Arabidopsis thaliana: one gene and its partners. The protein of the gene in region 2 interacts with the protein of the main gene of each other region in a pairwise test. Each region holds a gene or a part of one and is shown on either strand. Other genes may lie near its edges. The genes, in order: AT1G32580, AT5G55100 and AT2G29210.

The links.
Region 1: the proteins of AT5G55100 (region 2) and AT1G32580 interact in a two-hybrid assay, tested with the Arabidopsis thaliana proteins (one large-scale study listed by BioGRID).
Region 3: the proteins of AT5G55100 (region 2) and AT2G29210 interact in a two-hybrid assay, tested with the Arabidopsis thaliana proteins (one large-scale study listed by BioGRID).

The regions. Positions count from the first base shown.
Region 1 is NC_003070.9:11,781,407-11,785,165, reverse strand, and holds the start of AT1G32580 (plastid developmental protein DAG), read right to left. Parts: upstream 1,624-3,759; 5' UTR 1,059-1,623; coding exon 679-1,058; intron 589-678; coding exon 491-588; intron 409-490; coding exon 343-408; intron 1-342. Other genes in the region: AT1G32575 (uncharacterized protein), read right to left, coding at 3,533-3,616. UniProt on the Arabidopsis thaliana protein: Involved in organellar RNA editing. Required for the processing of few RNA editing sites in mitochondria.
Region 2 is NC_003076.8:22,363,167-22,366,925, forward strand, and holds the start of AT5G55100 (SWAP (Suppressor-of-White-APricot)/surp domain-containing protein), read right to left. Parts: upstream 1,659-3,759; 5' UTR 1,499-1,658; coding exon 1,228-1,498; intron 1,070-1,227; coding exon 909-1,069; exon of another isoform or gene 461-908; coding exon 1-460.
Region 3 is NC_003071.7:12,556,457-12,560,215, forward strand, and holds the start of AT2G29210 (splicing factor PWI domain-containing protein), read left to right. Parts: upstream 1-1,522; 5' UTR 1,523-1,699; coding exon 1,700-1,720; intron 1,721-1,839; coding exon 1,840-1,929; intron 1,930-2,091; coding exon 2,092-2,214; intron 2,215-2,368; coding exon 2,369-2,536; intron 2,537-2,624; coding exon 2,625-2,699; intron 2,700-2,835; coding exon 2,836-2,948; intron 2,949-3,267; coding exon 3,268-3,315; intron 3,316-3,393; coding exon 3,394-3,450; intron 3,451-3,586; coding exon 3,587-3,759.

The DNA of each region.
Region 1 (3,759 bases), on a different chromosome or scaffold from region 2:
CTATCAAACAAACAGACTAAAGATCGGTGTCAAAGATGACACTTAAGGCTGGAATCAAAATGTTTTGGCTTCTCTACAGGGAACAACTCATGGAACACACAAAAGTGACACAGAAGAGTCTTATGTCTAGTTGAGTGCAGGAAACGGATTCTACTTCCACACTCCACAGTCTTAACATTAACAACGCCTGAGATTTTGTGCTTAATTGAGAGTAGATATATGAAAATTCTAGTTCTAAGCTTAGTCTTGATCGATTATGACACAAAACAGAACACACAGAGAACTACGAAACATAGACTGTGTTAAAGCAATCACTAACAACAGTATTAACATAAAACTCACCTCCGTAATCTTTGTTCTCTTGATCAACATAAGAGTCTGGTAAAATGAAGAGAACACCAGGAAGTCCTGAAACACACACACAATAATCAACAACCATCCATTACATCGCCAACATTACAACAACAACAACAACAACAACAAGACATACCTTCAAGTTTGTTTGATGTCTCTTCATCAATCTCACAACCAAATCCAAAATACCTTTCACACGATACATTATAAATCTTCTTCTTAGCTTCTTCCTCACTGATTAAACAAACAACAAGAGATTATTAATTACAATAACTAAATGCTTCTTCTAACTAATGAATCAACGAAATTGAAAGAAACCCTAACCTGCCGATAATTTTAGCTAGGGTTTGAACATAACAATCAATCATTTGCTGCTTAGTAGCGTTTTCGCCTCCAGGTTTGTCCATTACAATCAACCAATGCTCATAATCGCAGCCAGGAAACAACGGCGCCATCTCAGTGGGTGCTCGGTCGCTGAAATTCGAACCGGATTTTAGAGGAGAGTACGATCCACCGGACCTATCCATTCGAGTTCGAATCGTTGTGAAACGATTCAAGGAAGAGATGAATCCGACGGCATGGGAGAACACCGGGGTTGATCGACGGGAGAGGATATAAGAAGGGGAAGGAGTGGTGGCTCCGGAGGTGGAGATTAAGCGCTTGGTGATGCGTGACGCTGTGGAGCGAGCTAGGGTTTTCGCCATTGGAGATCAGTGAGGTCAGAGTCTGAGAAATGACTAGACTAGGGTTTAAGTGAAAACCATCGAAATGACTAAATCAGATGATTCTTTAATTCTAAATGGGCCAATGGGTTAGCAGAAAAACAAAATGGGTTAATGGGCCGAATCGTTTTATCATAAGTGAAATAAAACCCGTATAGGTAAGTTTTTGATAAATTAATCCTACCATTTCACCGTTTGAGGAGGTTAAATCTGAGAAAACAAAATTCACACTAGGTTAGCTATGGAAATGGGTTTTCTTTTTCGTCTTGGAAAAGGGTTTTGAAATAACAAATGTTTTATTGTTTTGGTTCGAGTGCAATTACAACAAATCTCTATATATGTTAAATAAAAAAAATCAATAATGGAGAGGTGAACATACAATTGTGAGTAAGACATTCGATTAGGGGATTTGCATATGAAGATTTGGAGATTGATCAGAGAGAGAAGTTGGATTAGATGTTTGGAATTTTGGCATTAGTATGAAATAGATGGATTTGAGTTAAGAGAAATGTGTCTCTCATTAACAACCACAATTCTCTTTATATATGTCTTTTATTTTTCTAATATATATGGTATCTCGACTGACTCAAAGTTTCACGGTAAGATTTATGTTTTCCTTAAAATTTTACGTCTTTGTTTAGAATTCACCATTCACGATTAGATTTTTGCAGCATATGACACATACAACTTTTTAGAAGTTATTTCCCAGAACCAACAAATCTATGAAATTATCACAAAAAACTCAGATCAAGGGTATAAATGGGAAGTGTCAACCCGGATTTTTAGTCAAATTATATTTCTCTATAATTGTTTGATTAATAGAAAAACTTTTTTACTAATAGATATGCTAAACATGTACATATTTTGGCAGTTTTATTTCTAATAATTAGTCAAAATATTTTTAAATAGCTTTATTAATAGAAAAAATTTGAACAATAAAATACAAGTAAGGGAAAATAACACATCATATTTGTCTTATGTTTTAATTTTTTTAAATAAAATTAATAATACTAAATATATAAATAAAAGAAAAATTATGTTAAAATAGATTTATCTACATATACATTTTTGCAGCACTTTTATGAAATAAATCCTCAAGTTGGGATTTATTTACCATCCAATGCCATTAGCATTTAATATTTTAACAAATTTCTTCTCAAATCTAAATATAAATCAATTTTGTTACTAAAATTTAGAATTAAAATAAATATATCACAACAATCATTTAAATCTTTTCAAATCTAAAATGTACTACACACTAATATTCTTTTTTAAGGGGATCTATTAGCATTAATGGTATATTATTATTGATATATTTTAACTTTATAAAACATTATTAATATTTATCCTTATAAAAAGATATTAAAATATTATGAGACGAGTTATATAGTGGGACGGGTTTGCATTGATATAACACGGGTTAAATCTTTATTTATTATTCTATCATCACTAATTTTTTTTTACAATATTAATATAAAATTATATAATTTTAATACTAAATTTAAAACCGTAAAATTTAAGATTACTATATATAAATAAAATATTTGCCCCGTGGTATACCACAGGTTAAATCCTAGTAGTATAGTATTTTTGCATTACTAATGTTAGTATTAAAGCAATCTATAACTCCCGCGGGGGTTTGTTTTTAAAATATATAAAATAATATCATTAGTTAAGATAAAAACTTATCTTCTACCAAATTTCCTCATAAATATTTATTTCCTTACTTTCCTCTATATATATCCTTTTAATCCACAAAGCATTAAAGCCTTTTTCCTATATACAAATAGATATTATTCGTCTAAGATTAAGTTTTCAGAGAACACTACAACAACAAGGTGACTGCATCGTTTATTTTCTTTCTATTAATCTAGGGTTCGTCTTCTCTCACTTGCCCGATTGAATCGAACGTTTTGTGATATATTTAATCTGATTTTTGTTTCGTTATATGTTGATTCATAGATTTGAAATCTCCCCCAAAAAAAAACTGCATCTAGAGCCATATTCGATGAATCCTTCAGACATCTCGACCATCTCAAAAAAGATGAAATCAATGTCAATGGCTCACGGTGTTATCCGTAACAATAAGAGATTACTACAATCTAGATATTCTCTTTACCTTTTAGGTCAGTCAATAATATTCCTTACACTAAAGAGACTGATCTCACCAATGAGAAGCAGAAAGATGAGGCTGAAGGACTAGGGGTTGAGCTCTCGCTTTTAGTGGCTGAAGCAATCTTCCTACTATCTGATGACATATATTCTATGTTACTCTTAAGATAATATTGAAGTATACAGGGAACAAAGAAAGAAAGAATCCAACACAAGTGAAAAAAATATTGATTAATGTTATGATGTTTATACGTGTTTGAAACATATATCAAACCTAAGAATGGAGTCTGTCGGTATGATGGGAAATCCACTCAGCTGATCAACGTGTCTACCTATCATTTCGCTTACGGGATCAGGAATTTGGAGCGCATTGTTTTGATTCTCGTAAATGGTGTGCCACCATTTATTTTGAAAACTACAACCAAGAGCTGAAGAATATAGAGGAGAAGTTGAGTTCTTCCAGAATTGTTTTAGAGGCGAATGGATTTGCGAGAGAAGCGATGGAATCTAACATTATTCATTTGTGGAAGTTTTAGAAGGATTGGTTGTCAACTCTTAGGTTGCAAGTAGT
Region 2 (3,759 bases):
CAGAGGGATTTCTTTTTATGAAAGATGCATGATCATTCAACGGCAGAGAATGCTTAGAGGCAATCTTTGCAGCTCCTTTCGACCCTTCAGGTCCATTGGAATCAGTTACCTTAACACCATCATCACCTTTGGCGGACTCACTTGTTTTGGAGTCGTTTGCAGACTCTTCGTTAGCATCTTCATCTTCTACAGTCCCATAAACCGAACCAAGCAATGACAAAGCTCCACCATCCTTCTCACTTTCGTTCTTTTTCTCTTCTACAGAAGACTTTCCTGTCAAAAGCTCTTGATGGTCAACAAGAAACCTAAAGTAAAGGTGAAGATGATGGTCTGGCATTAGGAACCCAAATGTAGGGTTGTCTCCTTGTTTGACTCTCAAGACAATTTCAGATTGCCCACCGTGTTTGCTTACAAAACTTGAAGTCCTAGTGATAATCTGATGTAATTTCTCAGTTGGAGGCTGAAAGAAGAGAGAAAAAAAATATACAAGAAAAAATTAGTAATGTGAAATATGATGAATGACACCTTTGGCAACTCGCAGGTATATATACATAATAAAACCTCACATAAGTATCGAGAACCATAAATTGCAAAATTCAGAACTGTATAGAAATGCATCATCTGGTGTGCAATCAGTTTTAAGGTTCTTGGTAAGTCATGAATTTTTATCATCTTAATCCCACCTGCACTGCCCCTTGTCATGGCAGCAAAAGGAAACAAGGTGCATGTGAATGACAACCTTAGACAACTCCATCTCTTCTCCGAGCATCTGAAACTTAGACATAGTAGTCCTTAGAATAACAAATGCACCTTTCAGATGTTTACGTGGCCAATATCAGTTTAAGTACCAAATAAGTTAGCAAAAACTAGCATACTGCTAAAGGGAACAATCTAAAGCAATAACTTACCAGGTTTTGACGTAAGTAATCAGGCACGGGGAAAGGCGGGTGAAATCCAGATTCCATATCAGCAGCATTTTTCTGGTCATTGACATCACTAGAGCTTCCATATGAAAAAGAGACAGCACGATAACCATCCGCATTTGTATTTGCTGAATCCTCATTCATATCTGGAGAGTAAAGCAAATCCAAAGGGCAAACAAATTAAGTTTCGATCTGAATTTTTCGTAATCATTCTCTAGAACAGTTTTATGTCTCTAACATAGCTAGTTCGAGTCTCTCTACCATATAGATTAACGGAGATTTCTACGGAGTTCATCATCCTTACCGTGTTCATCATCATCCGACGGAGATGGAGATTCCGACGGTAAATCTAGATAACGCTCGTGATCGAGCTCCGATTCCAAGTCAGCATCGTTTGAATTCGGACGACGGCGTTTGATACGTGGAGGAGGAGGAGAAGAGAGGAGATGACGAACATCGTAGCGGTCAATAAAGAGGCTGTTCCAGTCAACGAGCGCCGTCGGAGAGTTGACAAACGTTGCCATCGAATCATCGTCGAAAAAGAGAGCGTGACGACCAACAATCTCTAGATCCATTGTGTGATTCTTCTAAAGCAATGGAGAATTGGGATTTGGGGAAGAGGCTAGGGTCTGTGTAATCCGTAATTTGGAACCGGATGTTCCAAATTCGTGATTGACCCAAAGATGTGATGACTTACAAAAGAGATCAAGTCGACTAAATGACGTCGTTTATAAGACTTTTTTACTTGCCGTTTGAAAAGTAATAAAACCACACGCATTTGGGAGAAAATAACTAACAACGACGTGCATTCTTTATGTTTTTGCGTTTTCAACCCTGCTTAAGAAAGTTTATATTTTTTCCCCATAACCTTAACTTTAATAAATGTAAGCCACCCTAAGAGTGAAAAAGCAGTGAAATCTCCAAATTTAAAGTGCTTCAACATTTGTGATTTCATTGGAGAATTTTGCTCAATCTAGTATCTGCCTCGTCTTGATGTGACGGTTATCCACATTGAGTTTTTACTTTGATGAAAATATTATGAGCTCTCTTTCTTTCTTTTTTAGGTAACTTATGAACCCTCTTTCTTTGTCAGGGCTTTCAAGCTATCTCCTCATGATACAATGGTTAAGTGATTTAATATTCTCTCTATATAATTTTTGTAATTTTATGCATCTATCTAACCATGTTTGAACAACCTGTATGGCACATTGTTTTCAAAAGTTTCGAAAGCAATTACTCTGTAGAAATAATACTAATTAAACTAACGTTATCTAATTAAACTAACGTTAATGTAAAACGACTTTGCGTGTGGCTTAATAGTTAATGCAACAGAAAGATATCGTAGAGAAACAATAAGATTATCGTATAGGTCGGAAAATGACCAATAAGCAACAAGGGAATGGTTTTGACTTTTTTGACGTAAAGTTTATACATTGTTTAACAAATTGGAGGAAAGCGTTGACCTCTCTCTATTGCTTTCTTCAACACCGTATATAATATTTGTGCCTTGTGGACGTCTTTGACTGGTTTATTCAAGAATTTTCTTCGATAGTTCGATCGTTGGTGTATAGAGCTATATTAGTGTAAGCTACTATAGGGACATTCAAATTTTATATAACTGTTTCAAAAACTAAATATAGATTGTACACATTTATGCAAAAACATACATTTAACAAAGCAAGTTGTATTAGTTTAATTAATGGTCATCATCGTACTAATGGACATCATAATTCGGATTCCATTACACATATTTATATCAGGAATCACGGGTTTGTTTGTAACTTAAAATAAAGTGGAAAGATCTATATACCTTGTATTTTCATTTGTAATGTGAGATATTCATTGTCTCGGACATATCACTACAAAACGGACTATATACATTGGCGGACGCAAGTGTATAAGTACTGGGGCACGTGCCCCATGCAAGATTTGATAATTTTGAAGTTTGTTGTGCAATTTGTATTGTAGATGAAAGAATTCGTTTGTTGTGCCCCATGTTAGAGTGACTTTTTTTCTAGTCAGTTGGTTATTACTCATTAATTTTACTATTTTCAAGTAATAAATGTTTTCAGTATTTAACTTATTTTTACTTTATTTATCTTTTTCTATAACTGTTTGAAGGAATTATGCTAATATAAGGTACTGCCAATGTTGATTGACACTTCAAAAAATTTTCTTCCATTTACATGTCTTTTAAGAAATGTTCATATTGTACTTTATTTTAAAAATTTATAAATATGTTGTGCCTCGGGTTAATTATGGTTCTAGATCCGCCACTGACTATATATGTATACTATGAGAAATCATATGTCGGGTAATTATACTTGGAACTATGGTACCATATTAGAAGATTAGAGATAGAATGAAAAAAAGAGTTGAATTACTCCATGGAAAAGACTAAAGAGAACGGAGTTGTACATCATTTATGTAAGAGATTGTCTGATATGAACAGAAGACTAGTGACGATGGAAGGAACTTAGCCTTACAAAGCTTGCTCATGTGTTTCTAAAGTAAAAACTTTTATTTATTGACTTATATAGATTATTTTCATATTATTCTATTGTTACAAGTTACAATGTAAAAATGGCCTTTCATATATTAAATTATATAATCGTGGTTGATTGGGCGTATGCGGATCGAGAACTTTAGAATTCAAGTTAAAGCAAGTGTCCATTAGAGGCAGGATGTATATAGCTTCAATTTGCTTTATTTAGAAATATATAAATTAGTGGTTCGTGGTTTTCACGACAAATAAAATCAATAAGTAATTTTCTTTTAATCAAAATCACGCCTTTGCGTCTCCTTGCATCTCGCCTGAATCATCTCAGACCGTCCC
Region 3 (3,759 bases), on a different chromosome or scaffold from region 2:
AAAATAAATTAAATAACGAATCTTAAAAAGTCTTCCAAGTTGATTTTTTTCTTTACTGACATAAATTTTGCTTTATATATCATACAAATACGTCAAAGTCCATAATTTCGATGATGGTGATGACAAAAGAAAATATGTTATTATCTTTTGCATGACATGCCCTCATATATGAAACTGAAACACAGAGTTATGAGCTCATCTATATATACATTTTTGCTGCTACTTTGTGAAATAAATACTGGAGTTGGGATTTATTTACAACGGCTGCCACTGGCATTTAATAATTGTTTTTGATAATTAGAAAGAAAATCTTCTAATTAAATATTTGACATTTAACAATCTTCCCAAAATCTCTCAACCTTAACTACACGATTAATTACTAAAATAAAACTTCTAAAATATTTAATATCATTTAATTACTACAAAATTATCATTTTTGATATTGCTTTTCTGCATGATTATAATCATCAAACCGTAGAGATATTTGATAGCATTTAATTACTACAAAATTACAAAATATTTAGACAATAATTCATAAACATATCATAAATAAAATCAACATTAATAAAATAAATGAGTTTTTTTTAGAGGACGGGTTGGCGGGACGAGTTTGGCAGGACGTTATTTAATAACAATTGTAAACTATACAATAAAAATATTTTATAGATAGATAAAATTTACAAACTTTTATATATATTAATTAAAAAAATAAATTGTTTCCGCGGTGTACTGCGGGTTAAAATCTAGTCTAATACAATATTAGAGATAACTATAGTCATTGCTCTCATTTTTCCATTTGCATACTTATATGTTCTCAATTCTCATACCTACCTTATATTGTGTGCCCATACACCTTCCATGCGCACTTGTTGTCCACACAAATTACGATCAAACAACTGTTATATAGTTTCCACCCACACTTTCACCTATGGTTTAAGAAACATAAGTTACTCTAATGTAGTAGGACGAGTTGACCAAACCTAACTCCTTCATTTTGTTGCACCAACCCATATTTTTACCGAGTAATGCACACCCCAAAACTTATAATCATAGTCATCTTCCTTTCACGTCCCATAAGGTTCACATTGATTACTCTAATCTATTTCACTTTCAAGATTACCACCACATGTAACTTTTCCATTCCTTTTCCACATTTATCTCTTAAACCTCAAACACTTTCAAGTTTCATCTTCTCTCTCTCTTATTAACTTCATCTACCAACCCTACTTAACCTAAAACCATTTTCAATTGCTTAATCAGTCCACACAATGCACATAAATTTCCGTGACCACACTGTTCGTTTTAGAAGAAAAAAACCACTTCCAAAATTGCATATGTACCAATAAGATAAAATGTTTTACTCATTCAAATAGACCTACGAGATTAATTAAGACTAGGTTTGCTTTGGGCTAAAACTGGCCCATAAGCTATGGCAATTGAAACCAATCAGATTACAAAAAAGGCTTGTCAAGAAGATGAGACCGAACATGTTCCAATAAATGGCAATAACGTAATTCTCAAAACCTCTGAGGGTAACAATGGAAAAACAAAATGAAGTGAGTCCGATATAGCTAGGGCTCGTTAAAAACTCTTCAAAATCTCTGTGGAAGCCCCATTTTCACATCTAAATCTCACAAATCTCTCTCAAGCTTCGATCTTTCTTCTAGAGACGAGCTAGTGCTTCCACAAACCCTAAACTATGTCCGGCGGTTTCTTCCGGGTTAGTTTTCCGATCAATTTTCTCAATTGATCTCTCATCTTTTAGATCCAGATCGATGCAATTCAAAAGTTTTGTTGAAGTTCCCATGGTTTAATAACTTCTTTGTTTTGAGCTTTTAGGGTACTTCCGCCGAGCAGGATACTCGGTTTTCTAACAAGCAAGCTAAATTGATGAAAAGCCAGAAATTTGCTCCGGAGTTAGAGAATCTGGTGAGTTTTCTCTTTGTGTACTCGTCCATTTTAACGATTTGTGAATTCGTAGCTTGAATTTACTTAATTGAGATTCGATTACCAGATAATTCGATACATATGTTACTATGAAATTAAGTTTGGGGAGGGCTTAATGATGTCTTCTACTTGCCTTGGTGTTAGGTGGATATCACTAAAGTGAAGATGGATGTTATGAAACCTTGGATTGCGACTAGAGTCACTGAGCTTCTTGGTATTGAAGATGAAGTGCTGATTAACTTTATCTATGGTCTGCTTGACGGGAAGGTAAGCTCATTACTGAGATTTTATTTTTCTGAGCTTTTTATTCGACTGTTAATAAGTGACAGAGGGGTAGTATGATTTCGTAGCCCATGCCATTGATACAAGTGATTTTTTTTTGTTGGACTAATATGTAATTGAACGTTCACTATGTATGTAGGTAGTGAATGGTAAGGAGATTCAGATAACGCTAACTGGATTCATGGAGAAAAATACTGGCAAATTTATGAAAGAACTTTGGACACTTCTTCTAAGCGCACAGAATAATCCAAGTGGTGTTCCACAGCAGTTTTTAGATGCTAGAGCTGCTGAAACAAAGAAGAAACAGGTATTCTTGGGAACTCATTCTGAAGTTAGTTTGGTGAACGACTTGTCTCTGTCCTACTGTTTCATGATTATTATCCTTTATGTGGCAGGAAGAAGCAAATGAAATAATGAAGAAGAGGGAGGGAGATAAGAAGAACATTGAGCACGATATATTGAGGAAAATAGTAAGACGTTCTTATTCATGCTAGAGTTTCAGCTTTAGAGATGCTCTTCTGGTTTTAACATTCGCCTGTTCTTTCATGTTATTCAGATAGCTTCTGCAATTATTAGGGTTCATGTGCTTTACCTCAACTACTGTAGGACAGCGGTGTAGAACATAAGGAGACAAATGGCATGGATGCAAAACCTTCAAGAGATCGTCCAGAGGATGGGAGAAGGGCTGACGAGAAGAATGGTGTAAAAGAAAGGAGAAGGTAGAGTTCTCTTAATGCCTATGATTTCATAGCTACTCTCTACTCATCGCTGTATTCCCTTGTGTACTTTATTATTGATTGAGTTCATCCTTCTAGTCTACTCATAACTTTGTACGTTGATTTTCTCTATAAGAACTCGTGGGCATGAGTTGTTCAAGTATTTCTATAAATGACTGTTCTGGGTCTTCTAGTCTTTTAGCATTTTTAGGTATGCTACTGGTACTTTGCATGTGCATTTGGTTTGCTGGTGGTCCAGGAATTTGTTTGTGGCCAAGATTATTATGTAAGTGGGTTCTGACATTGCCTCCACTTGATGCAGGGATCTGATACCTCCACGTCGCGGAGATGCATCCCGCTCACCCCTTAGGTGACTCTTCAATAGTTTTGTTTTTTCTAATACAATTTGCTTATATGTGCAAGTATATATTGATTGGTTGCTTTACAGAGGGTCACGTTCTAGGTCAATCAGCAAAACAAATTCAGGCTCGAAAAGTTATTCTGGGTATGTAGCCTTCTGCAATTGTTTTTCTTAATCCAAAGAAATTGTAGCCTGTGATGTGTAGCTAGCTAGTTCTGTATCTATTATTTTCTGTAAATCCTAGTGCAGTTTTTGCTAATGCTGTCTACTTTTATAACAGCGAACGGAAATCCAGGAGCACATCTCAATCATCAGATGCCTCCATCTCACCTAGAAAGCGAAGATTGTCGAATTCAAGACGTAGATCCAGATCACGTTCCGTGCGTAGGTCTCTGTCTCCTCGGCGACGTAGGATACACTCTCCTTTCAGAAGCAGGTCGCGGTCACCTATTA